Notamacropus eugenii: one gene and its partner. The protein of the gene in region 1 binds, or shares a complex with, the protein of each later gene. Links are inferred from orthologs where the notes say so. Each region holds a gene or a part of one and is shown in the gene's direction. Other genes may lie near its edges.

Evidence for each region.
Region 2: EIF3J (region 1) and EIF3K share a complex: the UniProt entries of both Homo sapiens proteins name them as parts of the eukaryotic translation initiation factor 3 (eIF-3) complex. The link is inferred for Notamacropus eugenii from reciprocal best matches to the Homo sapiens genes EIF3J and EIF3K.

Annotation. Positions count from the first base shown.
Region 1 is NC_092878.1:53,314,729-53,318,633, reverse strand, and holds the start of EIF3J (eukaryotic translation initiation factor 3 subunit J), read left to right. Parts: upstream 1-1,436; 5' UTR 1,437-1,787; coding exon 1,788-1,821; intron 1,822-1,928; coding exon 1,929-2,026; intron 2,027-3,905. UniProt on the Homo sapiens protein: Component of the eukaryotic translation initiation factor 3 (eIF-3) complex, which is required for several steps in the initiation of protein synthesis.
Region 2 is NC_092876.1:31,817,667-31,821,571, forward strand, and holds the start of EIF3K (eukaryotic translation initiation factor 3 subunit K), read left to right. Parts: upstream 1-812; coding exon 813-1,090; intron 1,091-3,905. UniProt on the Homo sapiens protein: Component of the eukaryotic translation initiation factor 3 (eIF-3) complex, which is required for several steps in the initiation of protein synthesis.

The DNA of each region.
Region 1 (3,905 bases):
GGACCGGCGCCTTCCCCCGAGAGCAGCGCTGGGGCCCGGCCCGAGCAGCCTTCTTTGCCTCCATTTACTTCTGGGGAAAAGGAGGGCTCTCCCTCTATTCCCGCCTGGGATCGGGGGGAAGGAAGCGAGTCTTCGAACAGGGAGGAAGGTGAGGGACAGTATGGTGGGGATGACGCGGGTGGGGCGGCGGTCCTAGAGCTGCGGCCCCTCGGGCTGCTTCGGACCCCGCGCGCTGCGAGTGTGCGAATGCCCGAAGGGGCGGCCAGTGCCCTGGTGACGCGTGTGCGACAACTGTGTGCGTGTGTGCGCGTGTGTGCATGTGTGAGCGTGTGTGAGCGTGTGCGTGTGTGTGGGCAAGGAGGGTGCTGGTGCCATTTGTTCTACAAGTTTGAAAAAAGGGTAGGGGCGTGTGTAAGGACACGGAGTTCCTTGGTGACGCGTGTGCGACAAGTGTGTGTGCGTGCGTGTGCGTGTGTGTGGGCAAGGAGGGTGCTGGTGCCATTTGTTCTACAAGTTTGAAAAAAGGGTAGGGGCGTGTGTAAGGACACGGAGTTCCTTGGTGACGCGTGTGCGACAAGTGTGTGTGCGTGCGTGCGTGTGCGTGTGTGTGCGCGCATTTGTGTGTGTGGGCAAGGAGGGTGCTGGTGCCATTTGTTCTCCGAGTTTGAAAAAAGGGTAGGTGTGTGCGTAAGGACACGGAGTCCCTTGGTGACGCGTGTGAGACGCGTGTAATGGCGTGCGGAGGGGGGGGGGTTCCCTTGTGTCCCGGGTTCGAGAAAAGGTCTGTCAACAGTGTATGCGGGACAGAGAAGGGCATTTCCTTGACTTGCGTGAAAAAGGAATTCCCCTGGAAGAAGGAATGTGCGGGTAAGGAAGGGGCGCGTGCCCTTGGAGGTGTCCGTGGAGGACACAGAGTTGTCCCACGCGTCACCAAGGATCTCCTCGGCCTCACACACACCCCCCATTCAGCCTTTTTGCAAACTTGTAGGCACGTCGCTAGCGAACTCCTTGACCCGCACACAAACACAACCCACCCTTTTCCTATACTCACGCTTTTCACCCACGAGTGGGACGAGCTACGTGGAGGCTTGTGGGGTCTGAGCGTTCATCGCGAGTGTGTGTATAGAGTGCGACAGGCTTCCCTGTGATGAGGTTGTGTGTGAAAGGGATGTCCTGGACGTGTGTGTGTCTGCGTGTGTGTAGAAGGGGTGGGGGTGGGTGAGGAGGCTTTCCCCCGGACGCAGCAGGGCGTGTGTGGAAGAGAGCACGTGTGCAAGGGACGTGACAGCGTGCGTGTGTGCGTGTGAGTGTGTGTGTGTATGCATGCGTGTGTGAAACCAGAGGGGGTGTGGGAGAGCGAAGCGGTGCTTCTCGTGTGGCAGGGCCATTTCTTGTAACCATATGTGTGCAAGAGGCGTTCCTCGCGGTAGGATTTGTGCGTGTGCAACGCAGAAAGCGGAGTTCCGGGTGACGGAGGGAGGGGCGGGGTCTTGGCCCTTCCTCTCCCGGCAGTCCGCACTCCACCCGGCCCTCCACCTGGTCCACCTGAGGCCCCGCCTCCTCCGGCCTCCTCTTGGCGCCGGGAGGGGGCGGAGCTCCGTCCGCTCCGCGCGCCTAATTCCCGCGGCCTGGGAGGGGCGGGGCCTCGGGCGGGGCCTGACGCTCCGCCGCCGTCCCGGCGTGCCCCGCGTTGGCCAGCGAGAAGCTCTCGGGTGACTCACCAGCCGCCCTCTCGCGCTCTCCTTCCCCCTTCTCTCCCTCTCGCACTCGCGCACACCCGGCCCGAGATGGCGGCGGCGGCGGGGGACTCGGACTCCTGGGGTGAGGGGCCGTGCGGGGATGGCGTGGAGCGGGGGGAGGGGCGGCGCCCTCCTGGGGCCCGGACGCGACTCGTGCCTAACGTGGCTCTCTCTCCCTCCTTTCCGTAGACGCGGACACGTTCTCGGTGGAGGAGCCGGTGCGGAAGGCGGGGGGCGCGGCCGGCGGGGACCGCTGGGAGGGCGAGGACGAGGATGACGACGTCAAGGTGGGCGCCAGGCCGGGCCGGGCCCGGCGGCGGGAGCGGGGGAGGTGGCGGTCGGCCGCCGGGGGCCCCGATCCCGGCCTGCTCCAGGGCGGGCCGCCGTTTCCGGGTAGTGGCGCCCTCGCCTCCCCGGGCCCGCACTCCGTCCTTCCCCCTCCCGCCCCCGGACCCCGGGCCGGAGACACGCGGCCGCGGCCTTCTCCGCTCGGCCCTCGGGTCCGGGTCGGCCCGCGGGTCTGCCGCCCGGTGACCGGGGCATGGGTGGAAGCTTGAGGCCCGGGGCATGTTCCATCTGGGAATCCTGGGGAGGGCTTCCCGGCCTTCTCTGCGCTGTCGCCGTCGGCATAACTCACTGCGGGGTCCTCCGAGTTCCCAGCCCTGTTGGGGTGTGTGATTGGCAGCAGACTCTAGCGAGCAGCCGATTAGGATCGATGAATTGACATAGGTGGAGACATTTTGAGCGATCCGTCGCAGCCTCTTCTTTATCAGACCGTTTATCGGAGCTATTTAGAAACATAAAAATGAAGAGATCCAGCTTGTCTCCTCTGGTGAAGGAATTAAGCGATGAATTAGACAAGCAGCTGGAAGAAGTAATAAGTGCCCAGAGCAACTCCCTGGCAACATGGGAAATGGGGAGTTGGCAGGAGGGCTTCCCAGTACACGTGAGAAGCAGAAAACAGAATGAAAACATAGTATTTGGATATTGGAGTGCGGGAAAGGGCAGTGAGGACTCCTTTCTAGGGGATGAAGTTTAAATTTGAGTTTATTTTGTCTCTTCCCACCAGAACTGATTCAGCCTTATTGTATATTTCTGAAAAGTGTGCCATTTTCAACATGGAGCCCCTCATGTGCTTTTAGGAAACTGTCCCAAGGATTTTATTTAGTAGCCCCTAAATCTTATGTCCAGAGTGGCAAGGGTATAAAGCTTAGTAAAGTAGTGGAATTCTTGAAACGTTTCAGCAGATGTTTGTATGTATGAAGTTGAAAGTTGAACGTTTCCCTCTCATCCCTGGCTTGCTCAACGTGTTCAACAGACCTTAAAAATTGAAGCATAGAGAACACTCTGGCTTGTCTTTCCTTCTGAATGTTGGGGTCTGCTGCACCCCTCCTCCCCAAGTGGTCAAGCACACTTAAGATACTGTAAAATGTGTATTTTTTTTTTTAATATTCTTTAATCCTATACAATGTATGTTGCAATTTAGAAAAAAATTTTAGCTGTGGAAGTGAGGTAAGGTTAGCAAAGAGTTGGAGGAAAAATTAAAAATTTTAAGAATGAGAAGAAAAGAACTGGAAGTAAACAAAATAATGCTGTGTACTTGAACTAGCTTCTGTTTTTTCCCCCCACAGTTATTAAACCCACGTAAGTAAAAATAAAAGTTTTTTAAACTGACCAGAGAGTTGATGTAGGAATTATTTTATAACCCATATGACTGTCATAAAATAGTATTGGACTTTCTAGTTAGACCAGGGTTCAAAGCCCTCCTGATCATGGGCAAGTCATCCTCCTAAGACTATGAATTATACACGAATTTCTTTGGTGGATGGAGTTCCCACATATACCGAAGAAATCGTAGGCTCTCGATGCAATGTTGAAATGACATTTGGGTTTTGTTAGCCTTTATAGAAATGTTTTTATATTCTGGTGTGTATTCTTAAAACAAGGATACTATTTATTCTGCTACATGACCAAGATTCCTTGAATGTCTTTCATGGAGTACTTTGGATTCGTTGTCTCTTCATTTTTTCTTAGTTCAATTTCAGCATCAAAACAAAAAGCCTAGATTGGGTGACATTGTAAACCCCATATAGAATCTTTGTTTCATTTAGTCAGCAATTTGTTTCTAGTTAATGTAATGTACTTTAGTTCTCTAAAGCAGGACTT
Region 2 (3,905 bases), on another chromosome or scaffold:
TTTGCAGACTGGGCTCCAGAGCAGCAGCGAGCCCGAGAGGCCCCCGGCCCACTGGGCGTGGTTAGGTGCCGGCCCTGAGCTCGGGGCCTGGCCCTTCACGGGTGTTTAAAATGCTGTTGACCCGCTGACCCCGTGCCTTGGCCAGTCACCGGGCAGGGAAGGAGAGACTCTCTTTATGGGAATATGCGTGGGAGAGACGATCGATTAAGCATCTATTAGGCGCCTAAGGCAAACCAGAGTGAGGGAGAGGGAGAGTCGCCGCACCCGTTCTTATTATTCCGGGGACCGGATGGAGGGGAATCGAGTCACTCATTTAGTGACTGCCACCCTTCCCCCGTCTTCCGTCTCCCTGGGGAGAGAATGGTCTGCACTGGGAGACAGTCCACGGGAGGAGGGGCCTTCCTGGAGGAGGGCGCCATGTGTCCGAGGGGACACCAAGGACAGGGGGAAGGCACCAAGGGGTGGGGGACAGGCAAGAGATCGTGTTGGATGTGGAGTCGTGGAAGTCTCATGTGTGCACAAAGTACACGTGCATCCAGGCGCCCCCCTCCCCGGGACACTCGTGGGGTCTCCAGCGCAGCTGCCTCCTGTCACGTGACGAAGCCGGCGAGGAGGGGCAACAATGCAGCAGCTTTGGTCCCGCCCACTCGAGGGGGAGGGGGAGTGAGCGACGCTAGGGGGAGGGGGAGAGGGCGAGAGAGACCCTGGGACGCCTGCGCACTGGCTCCCGAGGGTTTTTTTCCCCACCTCCCTCACCGTGGGTGAGCTCTGTCTGGCCCGCTCTCCGTCGGTGCGAGTGCGCATGCTCCAGAATGGACCGATCCCGGAAGAGGAAGTCACGTGCTACCCGGAAGCAGCCCCCTCCGCCGCCGCCTTTACCTCCGCCTCCCGTTGCGGAAGAAGTTGACGACCATGCGGCCGAAAGTGTCATCGGGGAAGGAGAACTTCCGCCCTCCCCGCCCCTTCCGGTTCCTGTTGCTTCTCCGGACCCGGTCTCGGCGTCTGCGTCTGCTTGTGAAAAGGAGGAGGCCATGGCGCTGTTCGAGCAGATGCGCGCCAACGTGGGGAAGCTGCTCAAGGGCATCGACAGGTGCGGGCAGGCAGGCCTCGGAGGGCTCCGGGGCCGCAGGGGCTGGGCCCGAGGACGGACGGGGAGGGAATTCCCGGGCCGTGCGGTTACGGCTGTGTGGTGTCCAGCAGCCCATCCGCAAGCGCTTACCAAAAAATAGTGTGACCGCCCCTGGCCTCCAGGAGCTCACGGGCCAACCCGGGATAGTAGGTGCCAAATAGATGCCAGCCAATACAAAGTAAAGGGGGGTGTAGGGGAAGAATTCAGGAACTGAGCTTTGAAAGAAACGAGGGATCCCACAAAGTGGGCCCCAGGAGGGAGAGCATGCCAGGGGTGGAGGATAGCCTGGACAAAGGCACGGAGGTGGGAAATGGAGCTCGAGGAACCGCTCAGAATTGTAGAGTGAGGTGGGAGGGGGATGAATGGTATAATGAAGCCGGAAAGGTAAGTTGGGGCCAAGATATGGGGGGGGCTTTAAAAGCCAAAGGGAGGAGTTGGTATTTGGAATTGGCAATCCCCAGCCCCTCTTGTGTAAAATGAAGGGATTGGATCAAATGCCTTCTAAATCTGTGATCCAAGAGACAGAAAGCAGCTTTTTCAGTTGATTGAGTGGATAAGTGACAGGCCTGAAGTTTGGGAAAGTCAGGGAGGCAGCTGTGTGGAGGATGGATCTGACAGGGAGAACCCCGAGGCTGGGAGCTGATTGGGAGGCTGCTGCTTTCCTCCCTGCCTTCTGAGAGCCCACAGTCTAAAGAGGGAGACAGCATGCAAACAACTCTGTAGGAAAAGGATGAGGTGGAGATAATCATAGCCTGGGGGACAGGAAAAGTCTCCTGCCAAGGAGTTAGAGAAAAAACACTTATTAAGCACCTGTGTTCCAAGCCCTATGCTAAGCCCTTTGCAAAAGCATCTCATTTGACCCTCACAGCTGTTTGCTTACTGTTTGTTCTTTGTTCTCAAAGAAGAAGGTGATGATGCTGCGACATACAAGTGAACCAGATTTAAATGAGGCAGGGCTGTGCAAAGTCCACAGCCTTACTTTCTCCTCTGGAGCCATCTGAGTCCAGTGGCCAGATACAGATCAGGACAACTGGAGGTGGCCCAGGATGCAGTGGGGGACCTTGGCCTTTTCAAGCTAAGGTCTTTATCTTGTCCCGGTTTGAGCGAGGCAATGCCTATTCACTAATTAAGGCTTAATAAGAAATGAGGCAAAGAATGACCTCTAAAAAAATAGATCTGGGAGAGGAAGAACCTCAAAGGTTTCTGGCCAAAACAGAAATAATTGCTACCTACATTTATTCTGAGCTTATCAGGGCCCAAACAGTGACCAAGTAGGACTTGGATTAGGACCTATTATTGGCCAATCAGTGAGCACCAGAGTGATTTTGGGGGATAAGGCTGGTCTTTTAATAAGAGAAGAGGAAGAAAAAGTTTCAGAGATTAAAAATTTACCTTCCTTTCAGACAGAGCACCCAAAGATAAGGGTGTGATACCTTATGTGGACTGAGGGAAAGAAGATAAAGACTAGTTGCCCAATTAACTGACCAGTTCCAATTTAGTCTCCAGTGAACAGCTCCTTTTCTCCTCATGGAGTTCTTGAAGAGGACCATGACATCAGGGAGGGGATGCCATTACATGCAAATAAATTGGATTACAGTGAGGGAAGGCTGTGCACAGTCACCAGCCTCACTTCTCCTGAGCCAGCTAGGTCCAGTGACCCAGATACAGATCAGGAAGACTGGAGATAGCCCAGCATTCTCACAGCAGTCCTAAGAAGTAGATACTATTATTGTTCTCGTTTCACAGTTGAGTAAATTGAGGCAGACAACATAGCTAGTGTCTGAGGCAAGGTTTGAATCGATGTCTTACTGACTTGAGGCAGAAACCAGAAGGAAGCCTGGAGGCAAAGATGACAAAGAGAGCCTTCTAGACTTTCAGAGTTTAGAGATGAGAGCAACAGCTAGGAGGCCAAAGAATGGTATAAGATGAAAGGAAAGGCTTTAAAAGCTCAACAGGAGTCTCTCTTTGATCTTGGGGGTGATAGAAGCCCCTAGAGTTTGAATATGGGCCAGATGACTGGTCAGGCCAGTGCTTTAGCAGTTGGGGGGTGGCTGCATGGGAGTAGGAAGAAGCTTGTGGCAGGCAGAAGACACTATGTTGGGTTCGAGGGGTACAAGTAGAAAGAAAGGAGGCTCCTACTCTTCAGGAACTGGAAGGAGGCATCATGTAAGTCTGTCAACATGTGTACCGTCAGTGTTAGTGTAAGGTAGGGCACTGCAGTGGTGGGAGTCAGGGAAAGTTTCATTGTCAGGGCGGTTTGAGCTTGGGGGAGGACGGGTCATGAGGCGGGTGGGGAGCAGAGGCTGGGAGAAGTTGGGACCAGGTAGCAAAGGGCTTTCTGAGTCTCCTTGGCTGGATCTTCATCCAGCTCAGGACTGCTAATAGAAGGGTGACCCCACCAAGGCTGCCTGGGTCTCTGCCTGTCTTCATCTATATTTCACTTGGTGATTCGCTGCCATGGATTAAGTGATCATCTATATTCTGTCAACTCTCCAGTCTACTTATCCAGCCTGCTGACCTCTCTACTCACCTCTCCAGCTGCTTATTGGACCTCTTGACCAGGATGATCCATTTGTTTTTGGTCAGTTGGATCTGACCCGGTGGACCACAGCCCACCAATACTGTCCCGGGGATTTTCTTGGCAAAAACGCTGGCTAGGTTTGCCATTTCTTTCTCCAACAGGTTAAGCAAATAGGGTTAGGCAACTTGCCCAGGGTCACACAACTAGTGAGTGTCTGAAGCCACATTTGAACTCAGGTCTTCCTGACTCTGGCCC